4 linked regions of the Drosophila melanogaster genome follow. The protein of the gene in region 4 interacts with the protein of the main gene of each other region in a pairwise test. Each region holds a gene or a part of one and is shown on either strand. Other genes may lie near its edges. The genes, in order: CG3308, CG7352, CG2540 and Eno.

Region 1 (8,716 bases), on a different chromosome or scaffold from region 4:
TAGATTAGGGGGGAATGGAATAGTCTAGGGATTAGGGCTAGATTAGGATTAGAACAGGACGAAGGAGTAGGTTGTCCGCTAAGTGAGCACAAAGCAGTCAAAGATTTCGCACTAAACGTATCACTACAAACTAACAAAGAAGCAAACAATAATCGAACTCAAATTCGTTAAACACTAAACACCAATAAACTTTAAACTATACGAAATAAAATTTTAACGGATAGCGCAAGGAGGCAGAATCAATGGTAAAACTATGAAACTAAACGTAACGATTAACTATGCAATTTTATTGTTAGCCAAAATTTTATAACTGTCAAGTAACGAACAAGTAAATATTTATATGTATACAGAATATATCAAGTATAAAGCATACGTTATATATCTTTATATACTTCGATTGCATTAGGCGCTGATCGGTAGAGTTTTAATTGGCTTTTGTGTAACCGAGAACGATCTGATCAGAGATTTAGTCTAGTCGTACTCATTGCTCTCTGTTCAGGCACTTGGGGGGGAGCTACATATGTGTAAACCCGATCCGAAATCGAAAAGTAGAAGACATGCACAGCCCGTTCAAAACTCCAGCGCTTAGTGTAAGGCAAGCATCTACAATGAGGAATATCAATAATATATTTCAAATATACAAATATATATTTATATAGGCCTAGCGACTCACAAGCTGGCAATATGTGGCAAGCAGCCACAGAAGCGAACAACAACGTCTAGTAAACAAGAGATTACATTTATACAAATACATACATATTATATGCTGCAAGTACGAAGGGCGCGCAATAGAATGTCCTTTCCCGCTTTCGATTCCACTTAAAGAAGAACCCGAAAGTTGCGAGCAGGCTGATTTAAGCAAAGTAATATTTATCGAATACCCCAATTTGAACTTTAGGTTTTAAAGTTTTAAAACGTAGAGCATACCCATACTCACATGCATGTGCATTATGTTCGTTATTTACCGATGCGGAATACAAAAAAAAAAAAAACAAAATATTTAACAGAGATCGCGCGTTAACCAGTTAAACCGAAAGCATGGCATTAATGGCAACACAATATTATATATGTAAATATATGTGTTATGCAGACATATATATGTATATTTATCGCATAGAACTAACACCAAAGATACATGCATGTTAGCAGAAATAATAAATAAAAATTCAAACTAAACTAAAGTTTTAATATCTTAATTTGGGCATCATTTACGTTTTGCAAATGGACTACAATCGATTTTAAATATTCTAGAAGTTTGCCCGAAACGAAGAATACTTTTAGGCAAACTTGATTTAATAGCAAATCGAAATAACGATGGAGAATGTTCTTGATGGGTATAAATATGAAGTCATCCATAGATAGCGATCATAATTGGTAATGGTGCCGCTCTCTTGAAAATAAAATGAATTCCACTTAAGAATTTGTCTGGTCACTCGGCTCTCGAGAACCCCATTCAACTGGATTTATTGAAGCTATCTGTGTGTAAACTTTTCACCAAAAAGCTCCGCCTATTGATAACCGATTAACATCGATGTAGGGTATAAAGTAATAGACATTGAACCTAGTCTCCGTTGGGAAACCACATCAAACAGACTTGCCATGAACCGCTGGTTGAATCGCGTTGCCGTAGTCACTGGTGCCAGCGCCGGAATCGGAGCAGCCTGCTGCCGCGATCTGGTGGCCAAGGGAATGGTAGTGGTGGGCCTGGCCAGGAGAGAGAAGGTCCTCCAGGACATCAAATCCTCCCTGCCCGCCGATCAGGCTGCTCGCTTCCACACCCGCCCCTGTGATGTCAGCAATGAACAGCAGGTCATCGATACCTTCGCCTGGATCGATCGCACCCTGGGTGGTGCCGACGTGCTTGTCAATAACGCCGGGATCATACGTCAAATGAACATCACGGACCCGGAAAATTCCGCTGATGTGCGTGCCATTCTGGACGTGAATGTGTTGGGAGTGACCTGGTGCACCCGCCAGTGGTTCCTATCGCTGCAGCGCCGCAAGGTAAACGACGGTCATGTGGTAGTCATCAATAGTGTGGTAGGCCACTCCGTTCCGGCCGTGGAGGGCTTCAGCCTGAACATGTACGCGCCCTCCAAACACGCGATCACCGCCTTGACCGAAATCCTGCGTCAGGAGTTCATCAAGAAGGGCACTCAAACAAAGATCACGGTAAGTGACCTTGCTCATCCAGTTCGCATGAGAACTTCTAATGATGTACGTATTTTAGAGCATCAGTCCTGGTGTAGTGGCCACTGAAATTTTCGAAGCCGGATCCTGGGAGCAACCCACAGGCATGCCCATGCTGCGATCGGAGGATATAGCCGATGCGGTGACCTACTGCATCCAGACGCCCCCAACTGTCCAGATAAAGGAGCTCATAATCAAGCCGGTTGGTGAGGGCTTTTGAAGTGACCACTTCCAAGTGACCAAGTAAGTTATTTGAACAAATACACAAATATCTTTTCAATAGCAGTGTAAACAAATAAAAAATGTACATGTTTAATTAATAGAGAAAAAATACACCCAAGGTCGCTCTTTTATCTCAACATGGAAACCGGGCTCAACTGGTTTTTGCTTACCCCAACGTTCAAGACGCCTTTCTATTAAACCCGTTTGTTCGTCGGGAACATTTTTAATGATGAATAATCCGGTATAAATCTTTATCTACCCATTTTTAATAAGAATATTTGATATCAAAATTTACCTAGACAAACACCCTCGCTATTATTTATCGATTAGGGTGACTCCGAAATATATGTAGATAGGAATTTATTATTCAGGAATTGTTAATGGTCTCTTCAGATCCAAAAAAAATCCAATTAATTCCAATGATACTGCGACATTGGGAATTATCTATTAAGTAGTCAATCCACCCCAGACGATTATGCTTATAATTTTAAAAATGTACCCAAAAGATAAGAGTTAATTCGAAAACAAGTCGCACTGCCGAAAGACATATGCAGATGAGTGCTGTCTGCAGCTGATGGCCAAGGGAGTGTGGTTGATAGTTCCAGCCAAAAGGGTGAACTGTCTCCAGAAGATGAACTCCTCCACTGCCATCAGCAAGCTGGCTTCCATTTTCCCCCTGCGATGTCACCAATGGTGACCCTTTTTGGTACATTTTCTTGAATCGATAAGAGTTTGGGTGGTGCTGATGTTAAGTAAAAACATTATGATAGAGGGAAACTCGGATGATCTGATAACAATACCGTTCTAGATACCATTGCACCAGGAGTACATTGCAGAAGTCTTCCGACAAGAGTTTATCAACAGGGGAACTCAATATAATATGCCTGTTGGAAGTAGTAGGTTGGATGTGTTTATTATAATGAGTTTCCCCCTTAGAGCATCTGCTAACCATTGTAGATACGTAAATAATCAGTGGCATGGAACACCGGCATACACAAGCTGAGAATAGAGGATTGAGCCGGTGCAATATCATATTACACTCACTATCAAGCCGTGGGCGAACTTGTTTAAACCTTTGTTTCTTGATAAAAAAAAATGAACAAGCTTTGTGTGGGCCAACTCAAATAAATAAACAATCGCACTTGAATACAATGAATCGTTTTAGTTAAATAATCTTGCAGGTGTTTGGAAAGAATATAATGAAAACATTATTCTCATTTGTTCGTTTGTTTAACCAAAACTGAAGGTGGGGTCGGTGCAAGTGTGTGGGCTTGGGTTTTAAATCCCCAAAAACAATGACTGTTGCCGAAACAAAAAATTCGACTCAGTTATATTTAGTTGCGACTTCTGGTATGGTATTGTGAAATATTTAATTATTTGTCTTAAGATGTTACTATTGATGATCGGAATTCTACTATATACATGAAACAAATATATTTATATCAAATAATTGGACTGAATTTTATTACATAATATTTATTTTGATAACAATTTAAATTCAAACACGATATAATTTGGTGCTACGTATCGATTCCGACTATCGATTGCATGCAGAGTGTAGTACCTGCACTGACCCGTTCTGCAGACGTTGTTCAACTCTAGCCAGCAGTTGTAGTTCGTGTCGGGATTGTTTTTTAGATTAATATTTCTCAACTTTTAGACCATTGATTGCCGAATTGGTCAACTCTTCCAAATTCCAACAAATTCAGTAGATCCACATTTCACGGCTTTCACCGCCGTCGCGTTTCCTTGCGCCCTCAAAAACAAGCTAATTGAATTACCCACGCACACAGTCGCAGCCCAGCAATCCATCGCCTGCGTCATAAGCTATTTTCGTCGATAATAGATCCAAGATTCCGATCCAGAACATGGACCCCAGTCAACAGACGCCCCAGGAGACGGTGGTGGCCCCCGTGGCCCCGCTGCTGGAGGATCAGCTGGAATTGGACATGAAGCACTGCTTTGAGAACCTGATCGTCATCGACGTGGGTGCGAATCTGACCAACAAGAAGTATAGCCGTGATCTGGATTCCGTGGTGCAGAGAGCCAGAGACGCAGGTTTGTATGCCAGCATCAGATACTACATGTGCAGGCATAATTAATAAGACCCGGGCAGTGTCTTCGTTCTGGGGCGAGGCTGCGAAAACACCCAGACAGCCAGAAGGTCGGGCTATTGGCGAGCAACAAGTGTGCCTGTGTTTTGATATATGTATGCATGTACATATGTGCCCTGGGAGATGGCATTACAAATTCAATGGGAACGTAGCTGGAGATTAAAAACCAAATAACCAAGATGTCAACACAACAATATTTGCATAGGATAAATTTTTAAAGGAAACTATAAACATTTAAATATATGTAAGAGATAAATTCTCTTTACATATTTGATTTGATATTCAACAAAAAATTTGTTTTTTAAATACATTTACTTAAAGGGATACATTACAATGCTGATAAGAGTATCTGATCGAAAGCAAACAGAAGTCACATATTTTCTCTTTTGTACACAAGTCTGTAGCCCAGTGAACGTTGCACTAACTTTCTCCCGCCTTTCTTGTTGCAGGTGTCCAGAAACTAATGGTTCACGGCACTTCGGTCAAATCGAGCAAGGAAGCGCTGCGCCTTTCGCGCATCTATCCCGACATAATCTACTCAACTGCTGGCATTCACCCGCACGACTCCAAGTCCATCGTGGAAGAGCCGGCCACGTGGTTCGATCTGGAGCACATCGCCCAGGCGCAGGAGTGTGTGGCGATTGGCCCCTGCGGCTTGGACTACCAGCGGGACTTCTCCGAACCGGACGCCCAGAAGCAGATCTTCGCCAAGCAGCTGCATCTGGCCATCCGGCTAAATAAACCTCTGCTGATCCACGAGCGGTCGGCTCAGCTCGATTTACTCGAAATACTAGACAAGTAAGAGCCGTAGATTTGGTTTACAAAACTTTAAATTGTTCCCCGCGCAGATTCGAGAATCTTCCGCCTGTGATCATCAGAGGTTTTATGGGCACCGCCGAGGAGGCGCTTAAGTACCTAGACCGGAGGTTCTACATCAGCCTGACGGGCTACCTGTGCAAGGACAAATCGGATACTGGCGTTCGCCGCCTGCTGGAGGACGGCACATTGCCGCTAGACAGACTACTGGTGGAGACGGATGCTCCTTTCATGTACCCAAACACAAGGGCTTCCAAGCTACCGCAACACGTGAAGACTGGTATCACCGAACGCTCATTGTTGTACTTACACAGGTGGGCGAAGTAAAAAGTACCAAAATAGGTCACTCTTCTATTAGTTCAAAATACCTTCCAGATATTGTACCTTCCAACGCAACGAGCCGTGCAGTTTGCCCGCCATTGTAGAGATGATAGCCGCCTTCATGAAGAAAAGCCCGGACGAGGTGGCTTTGGCCACTGCCTTTAATGCCCTGAAACTGTTTGGCTTGTCCTAGAAAATGGTAAAGGAGCCACATGGAACTGAACGACAAAGTGTGCCACCCAGCAGCTTTAAACCCGTAACTCTATAGATTCAACGAGCCTGAGATTCACGATAGACTCATACCTATGTGCCTTAACCACTAATCGAATTCAGGATGAAGCGCTTATCCTGATCCCCACACATACACACATCCACAAATACGACCCCCATTGCATGCGAAAAGTACGTATACGTATATAACTATATATTCACCCCCTGCCGTAAAGGTGCAAACCATCGATCGAAGTTTGCAGGGTCTAGCTTTAAGTTGTTGGAATTTCCGAGCAATTGCTTTATTTACTCGAGTACCCAGAGAAACGGTGCCAAGGTGGTGCCTCGTGAACGTCGACTCCGGATTCGCCCGGGGTCTGCACTTCACGCCTCGAAGCGCGCGCTTCGAACTCGCTCCCGAAGCGATATATGTTAATGTTAAGTGCTGCAGCTTGTCTTTTGTTTGTTTCTTCTGTATTTAGGCTAGAATCAATACTTTTAGTTTGTGTCTCTGTTAGCCTGTAGTCGTACTTTTGTACATATTTATTCTTGTTGCGACGATGACGATGATGATGATGATTATGGGAAACGTAATGTGATCATTTTAAAAGCTAATTAGTTATTTGATATTCAACATACAAACACATTAGTTAGGCTATGAAACATATTGAATATCGTGCGCCTATACAAACTATATATGTATTGTTATATTTACATATACAAAAGCGTTGTACTGAACTGATCGACCCGCGGAGGTTGCATAAAATCCGCTTTGTGCCCATTGTCCGCACACAGACACACACTATTTTCCATTTGAATAAAGCGAATTTGAAACCCAAACGAACAAAAGCCCCTTTTAGACGTCATTACGTGTATTTTTGGTTGGTTAGCACACTTAAAAGCGCTGAATATTACTCAAGTCCTCAAATTGCTCCAGCTGGTGCAAATTGTCCCACCAGAGTTTCAATCGATGCTGCAGAATCAGAGAGAACCAGGGTGTCAGCGGGGCACTAAACTTCGCCACCGCCTCGTCGATCTTATCGCGGCGCAAGTAGCGCACCTCACTGACCTCGTTGCTATTTGGACGCAGCGTCACGTCTTTTTGCAGGAACAGGATGTAGTCTATCTCGTGCTCGCCCCACACGCCGTCGCCCGTGTCTGCGTAGTGGATGCGGGTCAGGTAGCGAAAGTCCTGTGGCTGCAGTTCCTCTGTGGGAATGCCCAGTTCGTAGTTGAGACGTCGTTGAGCGGCCACACGGATGCCCTGTGCGTTGCGCTCCTGACGTTCCTGTTCGATTTCGTAAAGCGGATGGCTGCAGCACGCGTTGGTGTAGGTGTTTGGGAAGGTTATCTAAGGATACAGAGGATTATGGACCTTGTAATAAGGGGATTACCCTTTAATTTCACCTTGTGAGACGATCGCTTCTGCACTAGCATCTCTCCCTGAGAATTGAAGAGAAAAACACTGAAGGCGCGATGGAGCTTAACATCATTCGTCTCTGGATGCACACGGTGGCAGTCTGCCTTAGAGGCGGCCCCAATGGCTTGGTCGTTGGCGTCAACCAGGATGCACTGTTCCTTTAGAGCGTGAGCCTGCAGAGGATCGTGTACGGCGAACTCCGTGGGCACCTGGCGCTGATGTTTCTGGCCCACCGCTGTCGTTGAGCAACCGCGCAGCCAGGATACGCGGGGCAACAGGAGATTCAAGCGAGAGGCCAACATTTTTGGTAAATGACTAGTTTGGAGTGGTGGCCAAAACAAATATGAAAGTGAAACTTCGTAATACAGCGCGCGGGTCTGCCAACTCGTTTGCTTTCTGCGCGAACTGTTTGCAACACTGACGAGGTAACAGCTGTTCCGGAACAGTAGTGGTAGCCCTGGTCCCAGTGATACACAATTTGCTCATAATCAGTTTTTCGCCCCCATTCTCGAAACAAAAAAAGTTGTAAATAAGCAGGAAACGGTTTAACCAATTTCCCGAAAAATGGTAAGCAACTAGCCAGCTATAAGCTTAGACCCCTATTTGACCTTCCATTCGCCCAGATACGATTCATACTTATACAAAACCGAGCTGGAAAAACTCGCCTGGCCAAGTGGTATATGAACTTCGATGACGACGAGAAGCAGAAACTGATTGAGGAGGTGCATGCCGTGGTCACAGTGCGCGATGCCAAGCACACCAACTTTGTGGAGGTGGGATCGAGTCCATATGTTCTTTTGAATCACCCTTTTATCACACTTTTGCCTTTGTAGTTCCGCAACTTCAAGATCGTCTACCGACGCTATGCGGGTCTGTACTTCTGCATCTGCGTGGACGTAAACGACAACAACCTGTGCTATCTGGAGGCCATTCACAACTTCGTGGAGGTGCTCAACGAATACTTCCATAATGTGTGCGAGCTGGATCTGGTCTTCAACTTCTACAAGGTGTACAGTGTGGTGGACGAGATGTTCCTGGCGGGCGAGATCCGGGAGACCTCGCAGACGAAGGTGCTCAAGCAGCTGCTCACGCTAAATTCGCTGGAGTAGCGGCCCAATTCATACATATGTATATCGGATCTGCCAGATGCATTCCCCCAGGCGCTACACCCGCCTATCGAATCTTCTTTCATATACTATTACGCGTATTATTATTATTATCTTTAATGTGTTCTCTATGCAAACACTCAAATGTTAAAGGCCGTGTTTAGAAACAAATGATGTACCATAAGAGATTGTATGCAAAAGTTAAGTATTTTTGTTTTTATATGGGGTGTGTTAGGGGTCATTTGGCGATAATCCATATATTTTCTTCTCTGGTTCCGCCCACTCACCTCCGTAGACAAGATAATGTGTAGCCCTGG
Region 2 (5,503 bases), on a different chromosome or scaffold from region 4:
ACATATGTGGTGTTATATCGACTCACAAAGCAGCTGGTCACACTGCTTGAACAACTTGCACTTTTGTCGGCATTTCTTAACTGCATATTTTCTCACTTTTTAAAGGTAAGTACGCACGAAATTACTTATTGATTATCTTTTCCACTTAAAACACGAATGCCCGGTGGGTTTTTGTTTGTTTTGCGATTGACTAACCACGTAGTTCTTAAACATTCACATTTTCCTTGGGCTCTGCCAGTTCTTCACGTTTTCGGGCTCCATTTTAGCCATAGTTTTGTTTTCTATATTCTTGTGGTAAAACGCCGCTTAACTGCCACATCTGCAGTTTAGCCGGCTTGCTGGAGATAAAATTGCATTATCAAGTTTTCATGTGTTCCCCGAGTTATTTGGCTTTTCATCCAAATTAAAGTAGCCTTTTCACATTTTCCAGTTGGGCGACAAGTAATGTAAAGTCTTCAAATAGAATACTCTCAAAAAATTCCCAGTAATGTTTTGGCTAAGAGGGCTACAGAGATCCCGGCAGCAACTGAACAGGCTGTGTCATTTCCGTAGTCGTCTAAATTACGGGACCAGTCCCAGTATTCGCTCAGTCCAACCGTCAATCTCCAGAAGTTTGGGATTTTGTAGCTCCCTCGTTCGTTACAGGTATTTGCCAGGTGTTATCTAAAGCCCATGTATATAATCGGTCCGGTTCGCCATATGATATCTTTGCAGCTGCAGCACCAACCTTCCCCAACCCGCTGAGATGGCCAGTAAAACCGCGCACTTCGTCCTGCCTAACACGCAGCCCATTGCCGATTTGGACTGCAAGAGTGCCTTCGAGAATCTCACCGAGAAGGAGAAGCTCTACGCCCACCACTTCAGCCAGGCCTCCTGGGACGGCGGACTCATTGCCTTGATCCAGTCCAGTCCGGAGGCGCCGCTCATCTTCTCCCTGCTGCACCGCATTTTCCTAGCCGAAAAGATTCCTGTTCTTAGGGCGAAAGCCCTGGAGGCGGGAGTGTCTGCTGATGATTTTACGGTATGGCAGAGGAGAGTTTCATATTCTCGAAAATAAATATTAATTTTGATCACTTTCAGGCCTTCCTAGTGTACGCCTGCGGTGTGTTCGCCAACGCGGGCAACTACAAGGGTATGGGCGACAGCAAGATCGTTCCCAATCTCTCAGAAAAGCAATTTGAGACTATAGTAAAGGCATCCGCTGCTTACAGCGATGAGCCGCGCGTAGGCAAGATCTTCGAGAAGGTCAAGAATCTGATTTATGCGCTCGAGTCGCGTAACGAGATCCTGGGCTTTGCTCCCGACGGAATCACCACCTACTGGTCGGATAACTGCACCAAGGAGGACTCCGAGATCGTGAACGCTTGGCTGACCTCAAAGCGTATCGAACCGTACATGTGCCGGACCTTCAAGATAGTTGAAAATGGTCAAACCGTCTACGATGTAAAGCTGGGCTCCGTGGCGGAGTCCACGCAGGACGGCATCACACTTCCGCTGGAAGAGTATAATGGCAACAAGTTTAGGGTGACACGCGGTGATTACCAGAAGCTGCTTCAGCGCGTCAACCAGCATCTGCTGCAGGCCCAGAAATACGCAGCCAATGAAAACGAGTCCAAGATGATCGAGCACTATGTCCGATCCTTTGAACAGGGCTCGCTGGACGAGCACAAGAACGGATCGCGTTGGTGGATCAAGGACAAGGGACCTGTCATCGAGACCTACATTGGTTTCATTGAGACATACAGGGATCCTGCTGGAGGTCGGGCTGAATTCGAGGGCTTCGTGGCCATGGTGAACAAGGAGAGCTCGGCCAAATTCTCCGAGCTGGTGAACCGCGCCGAGAAACTAATAGAGTACCTGCCCTGGACGGAGCCTTACGAGAAGGACTCTTACCTGAAGCCAGACTTCACATCCCTGGATGTCCTCACATTTGCCGGCAGCGGAGTACCAGCGGGCATCAATATTCCCAATTACGACGAAATCCGCCAGGATGAAGGCTTCAAGAACGTCTCGCTGGGCAATGTGCTGGCCAACATCAACCGCAAGGATCCCATTCCTTTCCTCACCGAGGAGGATCAAACTCTGATGAAAGAGTACAAGGTGAAGGCTTTTGAGGTGCAAGTGGGCCTCCATGAACTCCTAGGCCATGGTAGTGGCAAGCTATTCCGCATCGACGAAAATGGTGTGTACAACTTTGACAAGGAGAACACTAAGAACCTGGTCACCGGTGAACCCATCACCAAGTGGTATCTTCCTGGAGAAACTTACGACACCAAGTTCGGAGCAATTGGTTCCTCGTACGAGGAATGCCGCGCCGAGGCGGTGGGCTTGTATCTCTCCCTGCAGCGTGACATCCTGGAGATCTTTGGCTTCAAGGACAAAGCCGAGCAGGACAACATCATCTATGTCAACTGGCTGAGTCTCATCTGGAACGGCATGGGTGTGGCTCTGGAAATGTTCAACCCGAAGTCCAAGCTGTGGCTCCAGGCGCACTCTCGCGCTCGTTTCGTGATCATGAAGGTGCTGCTGGAGGCAGGCGAAGGACTCGTTAAGGTCGAGGAAACCGAAAAGGGTAAAAACCTTTTGCTGACGGTGGATCGCAGCAAGATCGATACCGTGGGCAGGAAGGCGCTGGGCGATTTCCTGACCAAGCTGCAGGTGTACAAATCCACCGCCGACATCGAGGCAGCTTCCAAGATGTACGAACACTACTCGAAGGTCGACGAGAGCGGATCGCATCCGTGGGCCAAGTGGCGGGATATCTGCCTGGCGCACAAGAAGCCGCGTATGATTCTCGTCCAGGCCAACACGGCGATCGGCCAGGACCAAAAGGTCCAGCTGAAGACCTACGAGCCCACCCACGAGGGGTACATCCAGTCATGGGTGGAGCGCTACCCCAACACTGACATCGACGATCTTCTGGAGAGCATCGTGGAGAAGGACAAGAAGTATTTCCCGACTGCCTTCAACAACTGAGAACATTTCGCATTTAACATTTTCGCCTTCATTATCAATTCAATTTGTTAACTATGATTTTGAAAAAAAATATATAAAAATATATATAGTCATCTAATGACCAACAATTTTAAATTTTAAATTGCTTTTATAGTAAAACTTTCGTAGTGAATGGTGATTTTAAGATCGTTTTTGCCATTCACCGAAAATATTGACAAAGGACCTGAATTTAATTGCTTGTATGTACATACATATATTGCGACCAAATGTATATTGCTCATAATAGCTCCACAATTAAGAATGTAAATATAAAATCAAATACTACAATTTGTTCATTGAATGTTTTCATAGTAGCCAGTCGATAAATATTGGTTTTTTTTTTTTTATTTTGTTTCTCGTTTCCATTTCTGTTTGCATTGTTTTGACCACCATGGCAACCGGTAGAAATCGTGGTAACCACAAGGAAGGTGGCACTATCAACATCGGACAGCCGCTATTCCAGGTGCCTCATTCATTGCGCAAGGAGCACGACTTTTTCAGCTCACAGCTGTTCCGAAAATTGCAGTACGACCTGGAGGAGGTGAGCCGCAGCCAGGAGCTTTCCAAAGTGAGTCCCATAACCCGCGACTTCATCGAGGAGGCAGCGATGACGCAGGAAATGCAAGATCTTAAGCGTGCGGAGTTTGTGGAGAGGAAACGTCGCCAGCAATTGCGGCGGGATTGCGAGGAACTGCGCGACTTGGCGGAGCAGCTGCGCCTAGCCGCCATTTCCAGGGATATAGCCGAGAATTTGGAGGAGAAAAAACGTCGTCGACAGCTAGACATCAAATTGGAAGCCGCGGAAGTGTCCCAAGAGCGCTGTCTGCTGGAGGTCAGGCAACGTGAGAAGGAAGTGGCTCTTAAGGAGGAACAACGCCGCCTTAGGGAGTCCTTGGCTGAACAAATGGAGGAGAACCGCCGACGGCGCCTGCAAGAGCACGCTCAGGTGATGAATGACCGGGAGCTGAGCCTTCTGATGCAGAAGCAAATCCAGGAAGAGGATCGAGCCCAGGAGCTGGAGGCGCAGAGAAAAAAACTACAAAAGCGACAGGACATGCTGCGGTCCATCAAGGAGAACCAGGAACTCAGAGAATGGCAGCGAGCTCAATACAACCAGGAGTTGAGTGACTTAGTCCAGAAGCAAAGTGACATGGAGCGCAGGAAACTCCAGCTGGAGGCTGAACGCCAGGAGATTCAACGCAAAAAACAAGAAATCAGCATTCGTTTGGGCCAGCAAGTCCTAGAAATCGAAGTAAGTCTTGAAGCGGTTTTTCGATTCAATCAATAAAGCTAACTCTTATTGCAGAACAAAAAACGGCATCGCGACAATCTGCTGCTGGATCTGTTGGAGGCGGAGTACACGGCCAAGAGTGACGAGCGCTATCGCCAACAGATGCAGCAGGAGCAGATGTCTCGCCAGCGCACCAGACAGGAGTTGGATCGCTATCGACAGGAGGTGAAGCATCGTAAGATGGCCGAAATGCAGATGAAGCGGGCGGAGATGGCTACGCGGCAGGAGGAGGCGCCGGATACAATCAACCAGAATTCCGAAAAGCAACTGGATGAATATCGCAGACGCCGGGCCCATGGAGCCTCCTTGCTTGCTATGATTGAGGATAATCACCGGAAGCGGGCGGAGGCCACCGCTGAAAATGTTCAGTACTTTGACATGAAGGCCAAGATCGATGCCGAGCAAGAGGAACGCATCAAACAGGAGCGTTTGGCCATGTTGAGCCAGGTTCCTTCCTCCGTGCTTCGATATCTACCAAAGCATGTCCTTAAGTCTACGGATAGGGAGCATTTCTGCCTAATTGACGCTCAGGCACGGGGCGGTGGCGATTCCTAGTCAGTGGCATAGTTCCAAATTGTAATTCTAAGACGGTCAAGTTTATTTTTGGCTTCCAAAAATAAATTATTTAAAATTAAGCGCCGTTGTGTCTACGTGACGTGTATCATTTAGGCTAGCGAAGATGCCAGACCGTCGCCTGTGCTGCCAGTTCGTTGTTTTGCTCGATTGGAAACCTCGATTGAAAGGATATTCTCACAGAATGCGCATCTGCTGTTTCAATTTGGTTTAATATTATTTTGAAAGCTCGGCCTAATAACCGCTTCATAATTGCCGCGAAAGTGTTTATGCAGTCCAATCAAAAATACTATAAATGTTATCTGTAATTGAAATTTTATATCAAATTGACTACTAACTATTTCTTTGCATCTTACTAATTGCATTCAAAAAACATAACTTTCATAAAATACATGTTTAGATATACGTTTATTTTGACTGGTATACCAATATATATCTTTTTATAAAAGATAAAGCCAGTGCTGCGGAAGCTTGTCGCTGGTGCAGAAGCTCGTGTGTGTGAATAGCTTCTTTTCGAAATCAGTGGTACCGAGCAATATCGAAACCAAGACATCCCTAACACGCCCATTATCGGACTATCGATACTATCGCGAGTGCTAGCTGACGCTGGTCTGGTTTTATTTTATGTTAACGGGAGTGATCTTG
Region 3 (6,977 bases), on a different chromosome or scaffold from region 4:
CATGCCGACGCATAATTAAAATGTGAATATGGAAATTTCAATAGGAATCTGTGCAAAAAATGCCCCAAAAAAATAAAGGGGGCGATAAAAAAGCAGAAGAGCAGAAAGAAAAGACCAAGCAAAGGACGCACAAACACACACACACACACAGAAACTTAACGGTTTCCTGCTGTTATGGCCATCTTGCTTGCACCTCTTGCGCTTTTTACCGCCAGTTCGTTTGCGTGCGTGTGTGTGTGTGTGAAAGCAAGTAATTGCGAAATATGAAATATGAATGCATAATGAGCAGATATTCGCCAAGTGTGCAAGAAACTTGAAGCGGCGATGGGCGTGGCAGGTGGAAAAGTGGGAGTCGGAAACGGAGGCCAGGTGACTTTTATGCTAAAATGCGCACATCGCGCGTGCATTTGCATTTTGCCAGCCTTTTCGAAAGCAGTGCAAGGACAAGCACAAATACACACAAACAAAGGCGGGCACACACACAGGCAGGAAAAATCATAACTACAGTAAGCGTCCGATAGCAGCGACTCCTCTAAGTCCTTCAATTTTATGCGATTCAACTAGAAGTTCAACACAAAAGTGTATTTTGTCTAAAAATGAACATAACTATATAATTATAATATTTTAATATATTATTACAAAAAATTAATTTTAAATCATGGAAGATGTACATAGGTTCAAGGTTCATGAATTCAAATCAAAAGCTTCATAGTTAATTCCTAGACTTTTCAATTAAAAGTACCCACTTGCTGATTTCACTGTACTCGGCTTGGCCAAGATGGCAGCCAAGTGTGTTTGAAAAACATGTCAAAATGTTGTGGAGCTCATTAAAATAGCGTTGGCTATTTGCACACATCATATCTTTCAGTCACTAATTTGTAGAAGGAGGAGGAGAAGGTGAAGCAGCAGCAAATCCTTGAAGGCGCCTTTTCCCTGTTCAAAAGTAATGCATAACTCCCTTTTTCCAGCTTTTTCCTCAGATAAAATGGCAGAATACAACATGAGCCACATGGTGCGACCCCAGGGATTCAGTTTGGAAGAGCTGCGTCAGACTATGAGTCGATCGGCGATTCGGGAACAATGCTACTTTATTTATGCCACCGGCAATATTCTGGAGGTGATCCATATTCATATCATAATCACATTATCTAATTTATTCACATGTTCCGTTAGATTATATCTGGTTTTGATGAACTGCTCAACCAGGAGGGGATCCAATTCGGAGCAGATAAACTGGCTGCGGTGTATGTATGCGGTTTGATGGTTTATCTACTCCATCATGAGGACACGTCGGCCACCCAGGTGAAAAGAACTCTTTTCCTGCAAAAGTGCTTCAATTATATGGCATGCTCCGAGGAAAGCCATGTGAGTAAGCATATATATGTTTGAAATATATATTTTTTGATCCTTCCCTTTCTTTGCCCAACAGATCCACCAGGTATGCGTCCATGTCCTGGGTCTCTTGGATATCCAGAGTTCGAGCACAATGCTCAACCTGATCCTCGGCTGCCGCGTGGCCAGTCCGCTGTGCACAATGGCCAGCGTTGTGGCTAACTGTCTGCTCTGGGCCATGTTGGATCATATGTCGGACTTGGGCCTGGACTTGCACCGATTGCGTCCGGCTAACACACTGCTGCTCGTCGTTGCCGTGGTGAAGCCGCATATTTATGTAATATCCTATTTGCATTCCCTGCACCTGGTGGTCCGTTTGATATCCAGCATCCTGCTGATCGGACCATTCAATGCCCAGGGCCAGCAACTGTGCCAGGAGACCGATGTGCCGGAGGATTATATGAAACTGGCCAGGGACGATTGTTCGATATTAGTTCGCTGGCTAATCGCGATCGTTGATGAGCTGCGTCCGCTGATGGTGGAGAACAACGATTTGGGGCATCTGCATGAGCGCCTGGTGCTTTTGGAGTCCATATGTGAGCTTATGCAGCTCTTGCATGGCCATTTGGTTAAGTGTTACCAAGGCAAAAGTGGACCACAATGTAAGTAATAGCGAACGGAAACAAAGAAATCTGTTATAAATTCAGATACTTTGATGAGAAGAGAATTGAAATCTTCAATAACTTAACCTAACCTTTGAAACTTATTTCAAGAAACAATCGCATCGTATATATATGCAATCAACGATTTTATTATACACAATAAAAAGGCTCTAGCTTTAACTATAAAGTTACGAGGAAAACTCTAGATTTTGCAATTTTAATGATGCTACTTCTAAAAATGCAAGCACTTAGTGATTTGAATATTTCGTGTAAGCGTAAAAAGCTCTGGTAATAGTCCTCCTGAACTATGTAACTATTCATCCAAAACGGAATCCAGCCATTCCTCCACACCGTTTTTGCTTGCTGCCGATGAGGGTGTGGCCGGCTGCACCATAGGCATTGGCATCGTAATGGTTCCAGAGCCTATATCCAGTTGCGTATCGGTCATGGCCAATAGCTCGTCAAGTTCATCAGGTTCAGCTGCTGAGGCAGCAATTGGTTTTTCCGCCGCTGCAGGGGCAACGTCCTTATTGGACTTAGCAGAGGGAGCTCGCGACTTGGCGCCCCCATTGGCGTCCTTCAGAATGCACTGCTGGTAAACTGCCTCAGCCCGTTCGGCGGCCTTCTCTTGGGCGGCAATCTGAGCGCGGGTGAACAAAGACGCCGGATAATCCATACGCTTGTATAACGGAATCGTTTGCAGACCCACATTTAGGCGGGTGAGGTTCAGGGTGAAGTAAGCACTGGCAGCCTTGGTGTGTAGCTTGGTCTGGCCCTCGGCCACGTTGGCCCATTCGCGCTCTGACCCAAAGGTGAAGTGGCCGCCACCGAGGCTGGGAAACTGGGCCAGCTGCTGGAAATCGCCAGCTCGTAACTGGGCACGGGCATTCTCATCGATGGGTGCACCATCCAGGCCCAATTGCTCCACATCGTCGGTGTCGCTGGGCAGGGTGTCCAGCATGTCCCTGTTCCGTTGCGGTGCCAACGATGAGCGGCCTGCTCCACTGGACTGCCAATTGCCACGCCTGGCCAACCTTGGCTCATCGCTCGAGTCCGCCACATCAACCATGCTGCGACGGGAGGTGGGTGGTGGCGATCCCGACGATGTGGTGGAGCGCCCTTGATCCTTTTTATGGTGATGATTGTACTGCTTCATGTTCCTGCGCTTTCTGTAAAGGATGGGTTGTTATTATTAGGTGCTAACTGCGAGGTGAGTGGTTACGTTGCACGTACTCCTTGGATCGATCGTCCTTGCCGGACATTTTGATGGGGGTTGTGTGGTTTCCGGGGTGTTATTTATCTGGTAATTCCGATTCAAAATCGGTTTGTTTATTCCTTCGTTCAGCGACGCGAGTGTGAGCGGGATGGATAATGCGGCAAACAGCTGTTCCCTTAACTGAGCGCAGGGTGGCCAGGCTATATTGTTGCAACATAAAAAAGTAACGGAAAACGAAAAATATAAATATACATATTAACAACATACCATATGAACATTTTAGTTTATTACATAAATAAAATGATTGTTCAATTACATAAAAATACATATTTAACTATAAAATCTAATATTTGTAATAAATATTTAAAAATATATATATAAAACTCAAGGCTACGTGGCAGCCCTGTGGGAATCGAACAGCTGATGTCGATAACTTTAGACGATAAGCTGCCAAAGGAAATTGAAAATTTTCACAATTTTTTGGCTAACGAAGCACCGGTGATGTTGGACTTCCTGACGGAGCTGCGAAGCAGTGGTTCTAGGGCGGATCAGCTGCCCGGCAACATATACACCGAGTTCTTCGCGAACGTTATCGAGGAGCCCAGGGAACATGGATGCAAGTCAGCGGATCAGGATTTTACACAAGGATTCTCCATGCTACGCACTTTCGATACCGAAAATAGCAATCAATTGGAGCCGCCGGCGGCCACGGATGCGGATGTCTGGATCTTTGGCTATGGGTCGTTGGTATGGAAGACGGACTTCCCGTACATAGACCGACGACGCGGCTTCGTTTGGGGATTCAAGCGTCGCTTCTACCAGCACAGCATCGATCACCGGGGTATTCCCGAACGTCCTGGTCGCGTGGTCACCCTGCTGCCAGGCGATCCCGCCCAGGATCGTGTCTATGGCGTCGCCTATCGCATAGCTGCTAGTCAAAAGGGTGCTGTGTTGGACCATCTGGATTACCGGGAGAAGAACGGGTATGAGCGCTGCAGCTTGGAGTTCCACGAGTATCCGACTGACGGTGCAGAACCCATCCAAGTGATCATGTACGTGGCCACGCAGGCGAACGATTCCTATGCTGGTGATGTGTGGCAAGTTCCCTGTATTGCGAGGCAAATCTTCAGCTCGGCCGGTCCCAGTGGCCCCAATCGCGAATACCTATTCAACCTGGCCGCCGCCATGGATCAGCTCTTTCCGGGAGCTGTAGACGAGCATCTCGAAGAACTGGTTGCTTGCGTTAAGCGTTACATTGTCGAGGATGAGCCCCAGTTAATACGCCATGCGCTGTTGCATGAGATTTCCGGTATTCTGGAGGAGGAACAGCTAGCGGAGCAGGCACACCAGCTGGAGAAGCTTTTGGAGCGATGTCAGAAACCTGGCGGCCGCGAGTGGTTGATCTACGCTGCACTGCAAGCTAAAAACAAGTCGTGACACCACAACATTTTGCAATAGAAGACTACTGTTTATTGTAAATACCAAGAAGCTTGGGATATTTCTTTTTAGATGCACCATTCCAAATAGACCAATTGCAACGACGTGTTATAGAGGCTTCTGACGAATCACAATTACGATTGTGATTTCCTGTCATGAACATTATTATTTATTCATTATTATATATGAAAACATATTTTAAATATAAATTTAAAACAAACATTTGTGTGATTTTATTTAAAGTGAATTGTCTTGTGATTTGTGGTATCATTAAACATTGAATTATTAAATATATAGTAGTTATAAAAATCATAAAATATAGAGAGCACGCTCTAGGCCGGATAGAACGTATAAATCTATGTTGATAGTAACATTAATATCTAATCTTTAAATTTATAATTCAGGAATCACGGCATTCAGATAGTACTCAATATAGCGTTTATCAGCTTTTCGAATCAATTCCAATATTTATTTTATTTCCACCGGTGTAAATTAACCATTTTTCAATACAATGGCACGTTATATATGAATCTAATTAGGCAAGTAACTTAAAGGATTTTAATTAAAAGTTTCTAGATTTAATTTAATTTTACGGGGAATACCCTAAATAGCGAACGTGTAGAATATAGCTGTGCTGCTTTGGTCTCACTGCTAGAAAATATCGATAAGATTGATATCGATAATGCCCAAGCTTGCCGTTCATCGATGGCGCCCAGTCGTCGAAGTTTTCACAGCTCTAACAGTTGAGACAACATTTTGAGAAATTGTCGTTTGTTTTGTCGTGCTTTTTGTTTAAACATTGCGTTGTGTTTTTTGTTTATCGCCCCCGTGTCGATCTGATCTGATTCGGTTCGCCAATCCAATTGGATTGGGCAAGCGCCACAAACGTTCAACAGCGGAGTGAATCGCCATGAAACAGGTGGGCGGGGCTTAACGGTTTGCGGGGGGGTTGGTTGGTATTTAGTGGGTGGTTGTGTTGCGGAATGTGTTATTGTTGCTGTTGTTTTTGTTTTCGTTTTTTGTTTCTGCTGCTGCTGCGATGATGTTATGTCCCCTGCTTGTCAATGTGTTTCTCTCTGCATGTGTGTGTGTAAAATGCAAATTAGAATGACAACATGTTTGCATTTGCTGCTTTTCAATATCAACCATCACATCACCGTTAGGTTTTTGCTGCTGCTCCAGATGAATCATTTGAGCTCTCCCCCTCTCTCTTGCTCCCTTTCCCATGCAGATTCTTATCAGAGCAGCGAAAGTCAATGTTCTATCTTTATTGTTCTTGTTCTTGTTTTTGTTCTCTTGCCAACAAGTTTCTTATTGGACTACATTTACATTACCAACATGACGCAAGAGTTGCCAACCTCCCCCCCCCTCTGACCATGTCGTTCGGAGCTCCTTTTTATTGCCTACTTTGCTGAGTTATTGATAATGGGCTCTCGCACACAAGAAGGATAAAGCATAACGGCGCATAACTTATTACCATTACCATGCAAATTTCCATACGACCATTGTGTTTGTGTGTTAGAGCGAGAGGACCTATGAATTGTGAGAGTATGCCAGTATTTACATTTTAGCAGATTACACTTTTTAGTATGTACTCGCATGTGGGATTTATTACTTTGCTTTCTCAAAAAAAAAAAAGAAAAGAGAAAAGGCAATTTGGGGAGCTTCGCCTCCTAACAAGTATCGATTCCTGGTTAAAGCAAGGGAAAACCTCGGTCAGGGTTGCCAACGCATTGGGCTAACAATCCGAAATCAAAGCCAGCGACAACCATACGGACTCGTTGGTGCTTTGCATAACCATATAACCAGGATATTCAGGACGTGCCAGTGTGTTTCTGTGTGTGTGTGAGTGTTTGAATTGTGTGTGTGTGTGTACTCCTCCGTGTATGTATAACACGTGCCGTGGAAACTGCGCGGAAACGCTACCAGTTTCAGTTTTTCGCTGTAGAGCATTCGACGCGTTCGCACGCGTTGATTTTTTCCTAAATCCTAAAAAAGAACCCACAACCATTAAGCCAAAATCTATAAAAAAAAATTGCAAAACATCTCGAAACAAAAAGAAAATCTGTTCCAGATGTTTACGCCAAGTAAATCCAGAGGAAAAGCTACAATTTAAAAGAAAAAAATCGCTGTGTTGGTATGTGTGTGTGTGTGCTGCTCCTGCGCTGCCTCAACAAATTTTTCACTTGTATGTGTGTATGTGTGTGTAACTCGTGTCATGTGACCGCGCGCGCAAAACATTTTGCATTGTTTTTGCCCAAGCAGTTGCTGTAGTTGTTGTTGCAGGATATCCAGCGTGTACGCGAAAAACGTTTTTGGGGGCGAAATAG
Region 4 (10,637 bases):
GACCTTGGTTAAATCCAATCAGCATGATTAGCAAGAAATCCATCAATTGTATGTCAATTGAGCAGATTAAGAAAAAACAAGAAAATGACCAAAGAGGAAAACCCATCACGGGTGAGCGGCCAGGGGGAGGATATAGAAACGCAATAGAGGGTTAGAGGTAACCGGAGGTCGGAAAACTTGATGTACGCCGTAAACAAAGCAGAGAACTGAAGAACCGAAGTATGAAAATTGTAAGCGGCACAAATGTGATATATGCGCAGTTTAACGACCTGGCATCTCAAACTATTACTGCGTTTCACAGGACTCAAAAGTCCTCGCACACAGTTTTTATCTAAACATTTCATTAACTGACTCTTTAGTTGCTAAACACTTTTCACTTTAACTTTTAAACTTACTGTATAAATTGGCACTTTGAAATTGAAGGCTCTGTCATTAAAATTTGAATTTTATTTATGCGCTGTTTGCTGCGCCTGCAACTGCAATGGAAAACCAACTGACTACGCGAAGGGAAATGAAAACAAAGCGCTTAATAGCTGCGGAAAAGAGAAAGGGAGGGAAATTGCTTGAAGAGGGTTGAAAATGCATTCTCTGTTGCTTCCGGTTTGGCGCCAAATGTAAAACATTTCGAATTCAAATAACAGCAGGCTATAAATTACAACAGAGCTGCTGTGCGCACACAGTCTGTTAGGCGAGAACAGCTGAGCTTGAACGCTGTTCAACACTGTACTTGCACGCTGTTTTTGTTTTTACTTGATAAAACTTGGTGACTACCCACCCGCAAATATCATGAAAATATCTCGTTTTAAGAAGTCGCACAAAACTCTGGTGTTTTTTGCCAGCAATTTCGACTACCGGGAACCCTACCAAGTGCTAATTGATGCCACCTTTTGCCAAGCAGCCCTTCAGGTGGGTTATTGCTTATATCATCTCTAGCACTTGTTGATATCCATAGTTAATTTTTACTTTTAGCAAAAGATTGGCATAGATGAGCAGATTAAAAAGTACTTCCAGTGCGGCGTTAAGCTACTGACCACCCAGTGTGTTATTCTGGAGTCGGAATCCCTGGGTGCTCCTCTCACTGGAGCCACATCCATCGTCAAGCGATTCCATGTCCACAAATGCGGACACGAAGGAAAACCAGTCCCCGCTTCCGAATGCATCAAATCGATGGTAAATTGAGAGTTACTTGATTTCAAGTATGCTATAGCCATAAAATGATTACTTGCCTTTCAGACCAAAGACAATCGCTATGTGGTTGCCTCGCAAGATCGTCTGCTGCAGGAGAGTCTTCGCAAGATTCCCGGACGTTGTCTGCTCTATCTGCACAAAGCCACTCCCGTCTTGGAAGCACCATCTAAAGCCTCCAAGAAGTGGGTGCAACGACGGGCCAAAAACCTAATGCTGGGCAAACAGGTCGAGAAAATCGACTACATGAAGGAGAAGCAGGGACTGAAGCCAGCTGAAACTGCAGTCAAACCCAAGAAGCACAAAGGGCCCAAGAACCCCAATCCATTGTCCTGCAAGAAGAGCAAAAAGGACAAGGCGAAGCAACAGCTCAAAGGAGTTGAGCAGACCGCAATAACCAAGGCGAAACGAAAACGAGTCAAGATCCCAGCGCACGTCAAGGCAGCGCTAGGAAAAGATTAGATTAGAATGGTTGATCAAGTAGATAAATATAAGATAATGCAAGGTAATCTGCAGTCTTGACAAATCATTATAATGTGGGAGGAGCTGCTTTAACTAGCCACCTGAGTGTAATATGCCCTCTTCTATAATGGCAAAAAAATCTATGCATCTGAACCAGATGATAGATTACTAAATTACTGGTTAATGACTTAAGTTAACTAGAATATTTTAGAATTCATAAATCTTAATTGATTATTAGCTTACCACAATATTGCTCACCAATTGAATGGGAGGAACTGTAGAATCCCACTGTGCCTGTGAAGATTATCGCGATTGAAACGCACACTCAACTTAATCTTGTGCACATATTTATATATTTTAGTATATAGTTAAGAATTATACAACAGTATAAAAGATGACTGAGAGCCGTTTGGAGCAGGAATAGGGAAGGGGCGAGGCACACCGGGGTTGTTCTCACAGTTTGCCCTCGCGAATCTTGTTCAGCGTCTTCTCGGTCATCAATTGAGCCAGAATCTTGCTCAGCGTGGGATTCCGGGCGCAGTAGGCCAAGAGGTTGACGGGAAAGAGGCCGCACCAGGTGAGATCCATCTTATTGGCCAAGGCAACGGCGAACAGATCGCCACATCTCTGGGCCGTCATCCGTTTCTGATTGGCCGTACTCAGACCCACCTTTCCGCCCTGCGAGCCAGTGAAGGCCTCCTGCAGGAAATCGGTGGCTATGGGTCCCGGTGCGAAGAGCGACACATCCAGCTTGCGCATCTCCACTTTCAGGGAGAGCAAGTAGGCGTTAAGGGCGTGCTTGGCGGCACAGTAGGTGGGTGAAAATGGCACTGGACTGAAGCCGGCGATGCTGGAGGTGGCAGCGATGTGTCCTCTACCGCCGTTCTGCTCCACGAAATAGCGCACCACCAGGCGGCTGAGGTGGACCACCGCAAAGACATCCAGTTCGAACAGCTCCCGGTCCACCTCGATCTCGACTTCGGTCCAACTGGCTCGCTGGGATCGGCCAGCATTATTGACAAGGACATCCAGTCGATGAAAGTGATTGAGCACCGTGTTGAGATGCGTCTTATGCTCGTCGAGATCGAGCATGTCCATTTGAATGACCAGCACGTCCTTGGTGGCCAGCAGTCCGCGAGCTGCAGCTAGGCATTCCTCTTGCACTTGCTCCAATTGCTCCAGTCGCCGGGCACTTAGCACCAATTTCACTCCATGCCTGGCCAAGCTGAGCGCCAAAGCGCGGCCAATTCCGCTCGAGGCACCAGTTATCCAAACCACCTGTCCGCGCATCGACGACAGCGAGACTCCGAAACGGGACTTGTACCACAGGGCCACATTGCAGTCGAGCAGGATCCAGAGGAGCACGTACACGACATAGTACAGCACGAGCAGGAGCAGCAGAAACTCCAGGAAGCTCATCTCGTTGGCTCTGTATGGCACGGCTGGGTCGGAGAAACCTTTGTCCTCTGCCGCAACGGAAGGCACTGAAACCTGTTCTTGGCCACACAGAAATCACTGCGAGCGGGTCTGATCGATCAGCTGTTGGTGGGCACCAGAGGTGACGCAGTGACTGCGGAAAGTAGTCACCTTATCTGACATAAAACCCTTATACTTGGTTTTTGAATGATGCTATATTATTTAAATACCTTTTGGTAGCTAGGTAAGGGTAGTACTATCTTTCTTGAGAGAACATGTAGAGCATAATCCAAGATACGAAAAACGCTTCCATCTGCTCATCTCTGATAGTTTTTTTACGTAAACGAATCAGGGCTTCCAACACACTGCCTTTGCGCCAACATTCACATCAAAATTCAACCCCATCAGTTTGGCTAACCATTTCTTTTTATATAAAAGTAAGTAAACTAAGAACTAATCCTAGGCCTGCAGGAAGTCTCCGAGATTGCCACATATTTTGTCGATTTCCGCACATCCCGATTGCTCCAGCGCTGAAATGGCATTGGCGAGGGCCACGGTTTCTTTCAGGGAATGGGCCTTCAACCATATCCTGCCGTTGACTCCCACAGCGATCTCGTAGGGCAGTTCCCGGGTAAGAGCGGCGAGAACAGGGCAGTTTTCCCGCAGCAGCATCCTTCCCAGATTCAGGCTGCACTTGAAGAAGAATCCATCGGTGAGGACGCCCAGTTTGCCACTTTTGCCCACCGAGTTGACGCAGACCAGCTCCGGTTCAATGTCCGCGCTTGCATTCAGGACTCTCGCGTAAATCAGATCACCGGGGATCAGATCCGGGCGATTCTTCTTGCTGGCCGCCTCAAAGGCGAGATACGATATGGAGGCTGTGTCCGTTGCTCCGATGTCCACGCGGTACAGATCGCCCGCCTTGGCTCGCACAATGCCCAGAATGAGATCCCCGCGTGCCGGGATGTACCTTCTCTGGTAGTTGTCCACCCAGAAGGTGCCGGGTTCCTTGTGTCGAAGTGGGCCCGCCTTGCTAGCCACCACCGTGTCATCCAGACGCCGCAGTCCCGGTCCGAGTATCACCCGCTTGCTCTTGGCCAGCTCCTCAATGGCCGCAATTCGCTCACCGGGCATAACTATTGTGCTGGTCGCGCTCATTTTAATGTTGCTTTTACGATTTGAAAACTCCAAACAAAAAATCCGCGTGTGTCTTTCAAAACATATGGTCAAGTCGAGGACTTTCCAACACTGCCATTGTCAGCCCTGGTCTTAAAGTTAAATTTAACAGTAGTTGTAAAGAACATAAATATTCAAATTATTTTTGCCCCTTCTTATTTTATTATTTTCAAAATGCTTACGATTTTAATTATTAAGATGAACTTAAAAAAGTAACAGAAAAATTATATTTAGTCAAATTGTAATTGTTCTATATTACTGAATGATCTTAAAAATGCAAAGAAAGTTTTAAAGAGCTAACAGCGTGTGGGCGGCAATGTTAACCAACACATATGCAATTTTTTCCCGATCAGCTGTGCTGCTATAAGCATAATCGTACGATTTGTTAAAATCCGCTTTGCATTTATTTGTTCTAATTTATGGCAGCTAAAAAGCGTGACTAACCACAAGTATGTGACTTTGAATGACCCGATTGTCCAGAAACCACGGGAACATTTCATTATCATTGGTTGTTACACTTCTCTTGACGCCATTTGATTGTTTATGCTTTATTAACGAGAGCATTTATTATTATGTAGATAGACATGCAATCCACAGCTACGTGTGGATCCCGATTACTCTAACCTTGTGCGAAGGTCAATTTTCCCCAAAAAATATAGGAAACGTACCAGGGAAAACAACAAAAAAGGGAAAGCGCACCCCCACACTGAAAACCGGCGAGCACCTGGAAACGCATACATATAAAAGGAGAGTAAATGTAAGTGTCCCTCTCTTTTCCACACTTAGAGATGGGCAAAAATACATCGCCTAAGCTGAGCTTTTAAAATTTATGAATATTAAATTTATCATATAGCTTGCAACAGAGCTATAGTTTCATGTAAGGTAACTAAAATATATATTTTAAATGATATTTTTTACTCCTTTATCAAGATACAAATTGGTAGCACTTTCGCCGCCGTCTTTTACACATTCAAGCCATGTCTTGGACCGCTTCAGTTTTCTTGAGGACTTCCACCACTAGCATGAAGTTTCTGCGTCTGCGCTGGCCTCTCCCCAGAATTCCCCAGAATAAATCGGCAAACGTTGCGCCGCGTTTCAGAAGCAAATCAGCAGTCAGCCAGCTCTCATCTGGATTTAAATTTGTGCAGATCCGCAAAAGTACTTGGTATGTATATTGCTAGACTCTTGGTGTGTGCTTGTGCATCCAGCTTAGGGAAAATATTTAATTGTTTTATCTGCGAACTTCACAAAGATCACCCCAATCGAAAGGGCTTGAAAATCGAGCGTTTTTTGCGAGCGATATCCGCGCGATTATCTAACAAATGGTGCTGTGCAAATTTTCAAGTGTCTCGTTTACGTATATTTCCAATCGATTTAATTGCACAAATCTAATAATTTCAATTGACAGGCATTTGTTGTATCGCTGTAGGGAGATACTTCCGTTTTTCGCAACTTTTCCACGTACTGCGGCTTCGCTGGACGCCTCACTTTGGGTCTGACCTTTAAAAGTAGCTTAGAGGTCATTCGGTTGTTCGGCGAGAGCAAACTGAAAACTCTCCCACTGAGATAAGCGGAAAAGCGGGAAATGCCGCCAGTGTCAGTGACTCTAAATTATTATAGAAATATTTAACTGAAATTTGAAGACAAATTAAATATAGAAAACTCAGGAGGGGCATTTCGAGATTATACCGTGGAGAAAGTCACACCCGAATGGGGATATATGTATAAGTTTACACCACTCACAGCTCAAATTGCAAGTGACTTACATGCTCACAGCTACAATTCTTTGCAAAAAAAAATAATTTTTTATTAATATCTAACCATATTTTGAGAACCAAGTCCAAAAGTATGTCAAAGGTGTATCTCCCATTTCCTTTCTAGTTCGTATTTCTTTTTCGACATATTTCCGAATATTTCACTGCATCACGAAACATATCATTTAACTGTCCATTTGGAACAATTTTAAATATAAATAAGCCCAACTATTTAAGTAATGGCGGGGATTTCGCAAATATTGTGGAGCACATCCGCCATAAAATCTGAATGGCTTCATCTGCGGTCAGCTATTTAATAGAACACCATGCCTAGATTTAAAGTCCTGATAACAGACACTAATTCGCCCTCGTGGACTTTGTTTTTTGTTTTTTGATTTCAGTGACAGCAACGAGATGACCATCAAAGCGATCAAGGCCCGTCAAATCTACGACTCCCGTGGCAACCCCACCGTGGAGGTCGACCTGACCACCGAGCTGGGACTCTTCCGAGCCGCCGTGCCCTCCGGCGCCTCCACTGGCGTCCACGAGGCCCTGGAGCTGCGCGACAACGACAAGGCCAACTACCATGGCAAGTCGGTGCTGAAGGCCGTGGGCCATGTGAACGACACCCTGGGACCCGAGCTGATCAAGGCCAATCTGGATGTGGTTGACCAGGCGTCCATTGACAACTTCATGATCAAGTTGGACGGCACCGAGAACAAGAGCAAGTTCGGAGCCAACGCCATCCTGGGCGTTTCCCTGGCCGTGGCCAAGGCTGGAGCCGCCAAGAAGGGCGTGCCGCTGTACAAACACATTGCCGATCTGGCTGGCAACAAGGAGATCATCCTGCCGGTGCCCGCTTTCAACGTGATCAACGGCGGCAGCCACGCCGGCAACAAGCTGGCCATGCAGGAGTTCATGATCCTGCCCACCGGCGCCACCAGCTTCACAGAGGCCATGAAGATGGGCTCCGAGGTGTACCACCACCTGAAGAATGTGATCAAGGCCAAGTTCGGTCTGGACGCCACCGCTGTGGGCGATGAGGGCGGCTTCGCCCCCAACATCCAGTCCAACAAGGAGGCTCTGAACCTGATCAGCGATGCCATCGCCAAGGCCGGATACACCGGCAAGATCGAGATCGGCATGGACGTGGCCGCCTCCGAGTTCTACAAGGATGGCCAGTACGATCTGGACTTCAAGAACGAGAAGAGCGACAAGTCGCAGTGGCTGCCCGCCGACAAGCTGGCCAACCTGTACCAGGAGTTTATTAAGGACTTCCCCATCGTCTCGATTGAGGATCCCTTTGACCAGGACCACTGGGAGGCCTGGTCCAACCTGACCGGCTGCACCGACATCCAGATCGTGGGCGATGATCTGACCGTGACCAACCCCAAGCGTATTGCCACCGCCGTGGAGAAGAAGGCCTGCAACTGCCTGCTCCTGAAGGTCAACCAGATCGGCACCGTCACCGAGTCCATTGCCGCCCATCTGCTGGCCAAGAAGAACGGCTGGGGCACCATGGTCTCCCACCGTTCCGGTGAGACCGAGGACTCGTTCATCGGTGACCTGGTCGTCGGTCTGTCCACCGGCCAGATCAAGACCGGAGCTCCATGCCGCTCGGAGCGTCTGGCCAAGTACAACCAGATCCTGCGCATCGAGGAGGAGATCGGCGCTGGCGTCAAGTTCGCCGGCAAGTCGTTCAGGAAGCCGCAGTAAGCGCAGGGCACTTCGAAATTCCAACCACACCAGCCCCATCGAATGAGATCTGGATCTTGGAGAGGGAGCTGGACGCAGTAGATCCATGGAAAGGCGGCGGTGCACGTGTTCGTCAACCTTTTACGTTCGGAACTTGTGTCTGGCGCACAAATACATCAGAATTAAACTACCAAACCCATTTGCTGTCTCTATGCTTCGTTCTTAGACATTATTAATTAATGCTAAACCTTGATCTAATCATTATTTATAAACAAAAGAATAAAAAACACTATGTGCAAGATATTCGTTCAGTTGCCGAGAGCTTTGAATATCTTCAATGTAATCGCTGTAATCGTTATGAAATTATAAATTGATCTACACAAACACCAAATCCACAAACAGACAAGTTATTCACTTCAAAAACGGTTATGAAACAATTGTTGAGACATAGAATTTAAGCGAAAGCTGTTGGAATATTCTTATCGAATATACACGGTGTTCAATAGAGATCTTAATCAGATGGAATAGTACACCAAATATTAAACATATTCAGATTTGTTAGTTGATGTGAAATAAAAAGTATAAAAGTTACTGAATTCTTTTCTTCGATCACTTGTGGCGTTGCCAGATAATCAAGTAAACTCAAGTAAGGGCAACTAAAGTAAAGGCAACTATCTTAAAACATTTTCTGGATTTGGATTAAGATTGAATGGATCTGAATTATTCATTATCTCTGAACTGATGAATGAAGTTATTAAACTTTGAATACGATCTTTTTTCTATCTTTATCTTTGCTTTCCACCAATTAGTCGAGTATTTCAATAAGCTTTTTCAACTTTCTGTGAATAAAATTGAATTTCTAGGGTGGACCAAAATGGCGCTCAAAGTTTCGCACAGAACCGTTGAATTCCCCAGTTTGTTGGTATTTTTTAGGTCGTTTCTTGGCGCCTCGCAGCGGCGGTATGCTTCCACAGTCGCAGTGCGGTCACTCTCACGGACGTGTTTTTTTACATCGGATCGAAAATAAATTAATGCAAAGCTAAATCACAAACGCTAGGGATCGGCGAGCTCGAAATCGAATCAGTGCACCGGCCGACCGACGGACTTTAACTGCGCGCAAGCTAACCGTAGGTTAAGTTAACGCTCAGCACTGCAACCACTGCAGTTGCATAACCGTTGCCGAAAATCAAGTCGAAAAGTCGGAGAATCGCGGCCAAGCGAAAGCCCCAAAAGTTCAAAGGACAATAGAAAGTGGCAAGAGGAAGAGAGGAGAGCGTGCTAAGAGCCCCTCCCCCTGGGGCCCCGCCCCCCACACCTCCGCCCACAAAGTGCCTTAACAATATAGTGCGTTTTGCCAAAGTTAAAACCAAGTGCGCGTCCAAGTAGCCGCCCATTTCGGTGGAGCCTATTCCGGAACTGGGAAGACAACGAAGATGGCCCAGAACACGGCCGACACTCTCATCCACCTGATCGCCGGCGGGTAAGTCTGCCTGCCTGACATTCTCCCTACTGCGTCTTATCGCAGGTCAGGCCATCAGCGTAGAACGAAACCGGTTTGCTCCCGGCCTCTAATTGTAATTGCTCGGCGGGAACGGCGCAATTGGCGATTAGATTTGGGCTGGCCCACGAAGGGGAGCTGAACTATTTTGGCGCCACTGCCAAAAGGGAGCAAACCGAAAAAGAAATGCGGCCAGCGCAGGGAAACACACAACACAAACTGATCTTCGGGAAACATGCTACGTTCACGTGCTTTGCATTAAAAGAAGGGTATTTGTTGTTCGATAAATCGCAGCTAAAGTGAGCGAAATACGCAGAACATATGTAATTAATTAAAGCGCGCCTGCAGCGAACAAACATTCATAAACAGCGCATTTCTGGGTTCATTTTCCGCAGGCAATGTCCACTTGGATTCATTCCGATTCCCCTGGACAGGCAATTGCTTTGTTGTTGTTTCCCTTATGGACTTTTATTGTGGCTTTTATATGCGGCTATTTTTAGACGCGTCGCATCTGAATTTATTTTTGTTTTCACCTGCACCCTACACACACAATGGCCGGCACATTAGTTCTTCCACATTAGTTTGCCCAGCGGAAAACCAGTTTCCAGCGATCGAGAATCGATCCCAAGTCGAGCCCCTGGTCAGTCGGGAAACGATCGCATTTCAATTGAATTACGCTCGAAATACGAACTTTGTTATTTATGCTTGACAGCTCTCAGCTTTAAATAGTTTATTTTTGTTGATATTTATATTTGGGATAGTAAACAAGTGTTTATAGAGTTTGTTTATAAAGTATCTCCTAGTCCATGATAGTTTTTCCACAGAAAATATTTGCTATACTTCGCTCCTTATGACTGCAATCCAGATTTCCACTTTATAAAAACAACAGCTCACCGTTTCTGACAACTTTTGATCGACGCGGGTGGCCTTGGTGAAGGCCTTTGATAGCATGACCCCCCACCTATAATAATTCCGCTGAATGGCACTTCTAATGCCCCGCCACAGTGGCAATCAAGTCTCTCCGGGCAATTTGCCGGCCGGCAGTGCAAGTCCACTTATCAGCGGGGGAAAAAAGCAACCACACAGTTGTGGCACCCACCCATGTCCGTATGTATCCATGTCCGTATGTATCCGTGTCCGTATCTAACGAGTCGCTGCACATATGCGTAGTATATACTTTAGTGGGCTGGAAATACGCTGCACGTTGCAACCTGAGCTGGCTAATACCCCAGTTGTTCTGGCCGCCTTCCACTTGTCGTCGCTTGCCGGGTATCTCGTGTTGGTACACGTTGCGAAAACAAATCGAAAGGCGTAACAACCTTGCCTCCCCGCCACACAATGCTATCGCAGCAAGTAAGCCGCACGGCAAACAATCAAACGACATCCATCTAATCGGGCATCAGAGGCCTCCAAGGGGCTTACATAAGTTGAAGAGGGGCAGTGCACATTAC

Evidence for each region.
Region 1: the proteins of Eno (region 4) and CG3308 interact in a two-hybrid assay, tested with the Drosophila melanogaster proteins (one large-scale study listed by BioGRID).
Region 2: the proteins of Eno (region 4) and CG7352 interact in a two-hybrid assay, tested with the Drosophila melanogaster proteins (one large-scale study listed by BioGRID).
Region 3: the proteins of Eno (region 4) and CG2540 interact in a two-hybrid assay, tested with the Drosophila melanogaster proteins (one large-scale study listed by BioGRID).

What each region holds. Positions count from the first base shown.
Region 1 is NT_033777.3:21,269,095-21,277,810, reverse strand, and holds CG3308 (uncharacterized protein), read left to right. Parts: upstream 1-3,993; 5' UTR 3,994-4,280; coding exon 4,281-4,470; intron 4,471-4,975; coding exon 4,976-5,324; intron 5,325-5,374; coding exon 5,375-5,656; intron 5,657-5,717; coding exon 5,718-5,856; 3' UTR 5,857-6,733; downstream 6,734-8,716. Other genes in the region: CG3301 (uncharacterized protein), read left to right, coding at 1,600-2,172, 2,231-2,410; Idi (Isopentenyl-diphosphate delta isomerase), read right to left, coding at 6,769-7,224, 7,281-7,595; AP-2sigma (adaptor protein complex 2, sigma subunit), read left to right, coding at 7,858-7,860, 7,917-8,066, 8,127-8,402.
Region 2 is NT_033777.3:8,344,379-8,349,881, forward strand, and holds CG7352 (uncharacterized protein), read left to right. Parts: upstream 1-3,340; 5' UTR 3,341-3,385; coding exon 3,386-4,246; intron 4,247-4,300; coding exon 4,301-4,840; 3' UTR 4,841-4,918; downstream 4,919-5,503. Other genes in the region: DppIII (dipeptidyl aminopeptidase III), read left to right, coding at 488-645, 715-1,021, 1,081-2,976.
Region 3 is NC_004354.4:12,626,248-12,633,224, forward strand, and holds CG2540 (uncharacterized protein), read left to right. Parts: upstream 1-3,630; 5' UTR 3,631-3,711; coding exon 3,712-4,647; 3' UTR 4,648-4,864; downstream 4,865-6,977. Other genes in the region: CG15728 (uncharacterized protein), read left to right, coding at 986-1,117, 1,174-1,365, 1,430-2,002; Aven (apoptosis and caspase activation inhibitor), read right to left, coding at 2,308-3,163, 3,228-3,256.
Region 4 is NT_033779.5:1,722,413-1,733,049, reverse strand, and holds Eno (enolase), read left to right. Parts: upstream 1-3,413; 5' UTR 3,414-3,522; coding exon of another isoform or gene 3,523-4,221; exon of another isoform or gene 4,222-4,318; intron 4,319-4,586; exon of another isoform or gene 4,587-4,747; intron 4,748-4,817; 5' UTR 4,818-4,996; intron 4,997-5,169; 5' UTR 5,170-5,216; coding exon 5,217-5,404; exon of another isoform or gene 5,405-6,297; intron 6,298-6,394; coding exon 6,395-7,709; 3' UTR 7,710-8,282; downstream 8,283-10,637. Other genes in the region: CG17652 (uncharacterized protein), read left to right, coding at 787-906, 970-1,170, 1,234-1,647; CG31937 (uncharacterized protein), read right to left, coding at 2,101-3,066; Rrp40 (ribosomal RNA processing 40), read right to left, coding at 3,523-4,221; Rim2 (replication in mitochondria 2), read left to right, coding at 9,122-9,168. UniProt on the Drosophila melanogaster protein: Enzyme of the glycolytic pathway. Glycolysis is essential in glial cells but not in neurons; neurons rely on the citric acid cycle for their energy needs, and on lactate and alanine secreted into the hemolymph by glial cells to fuel it.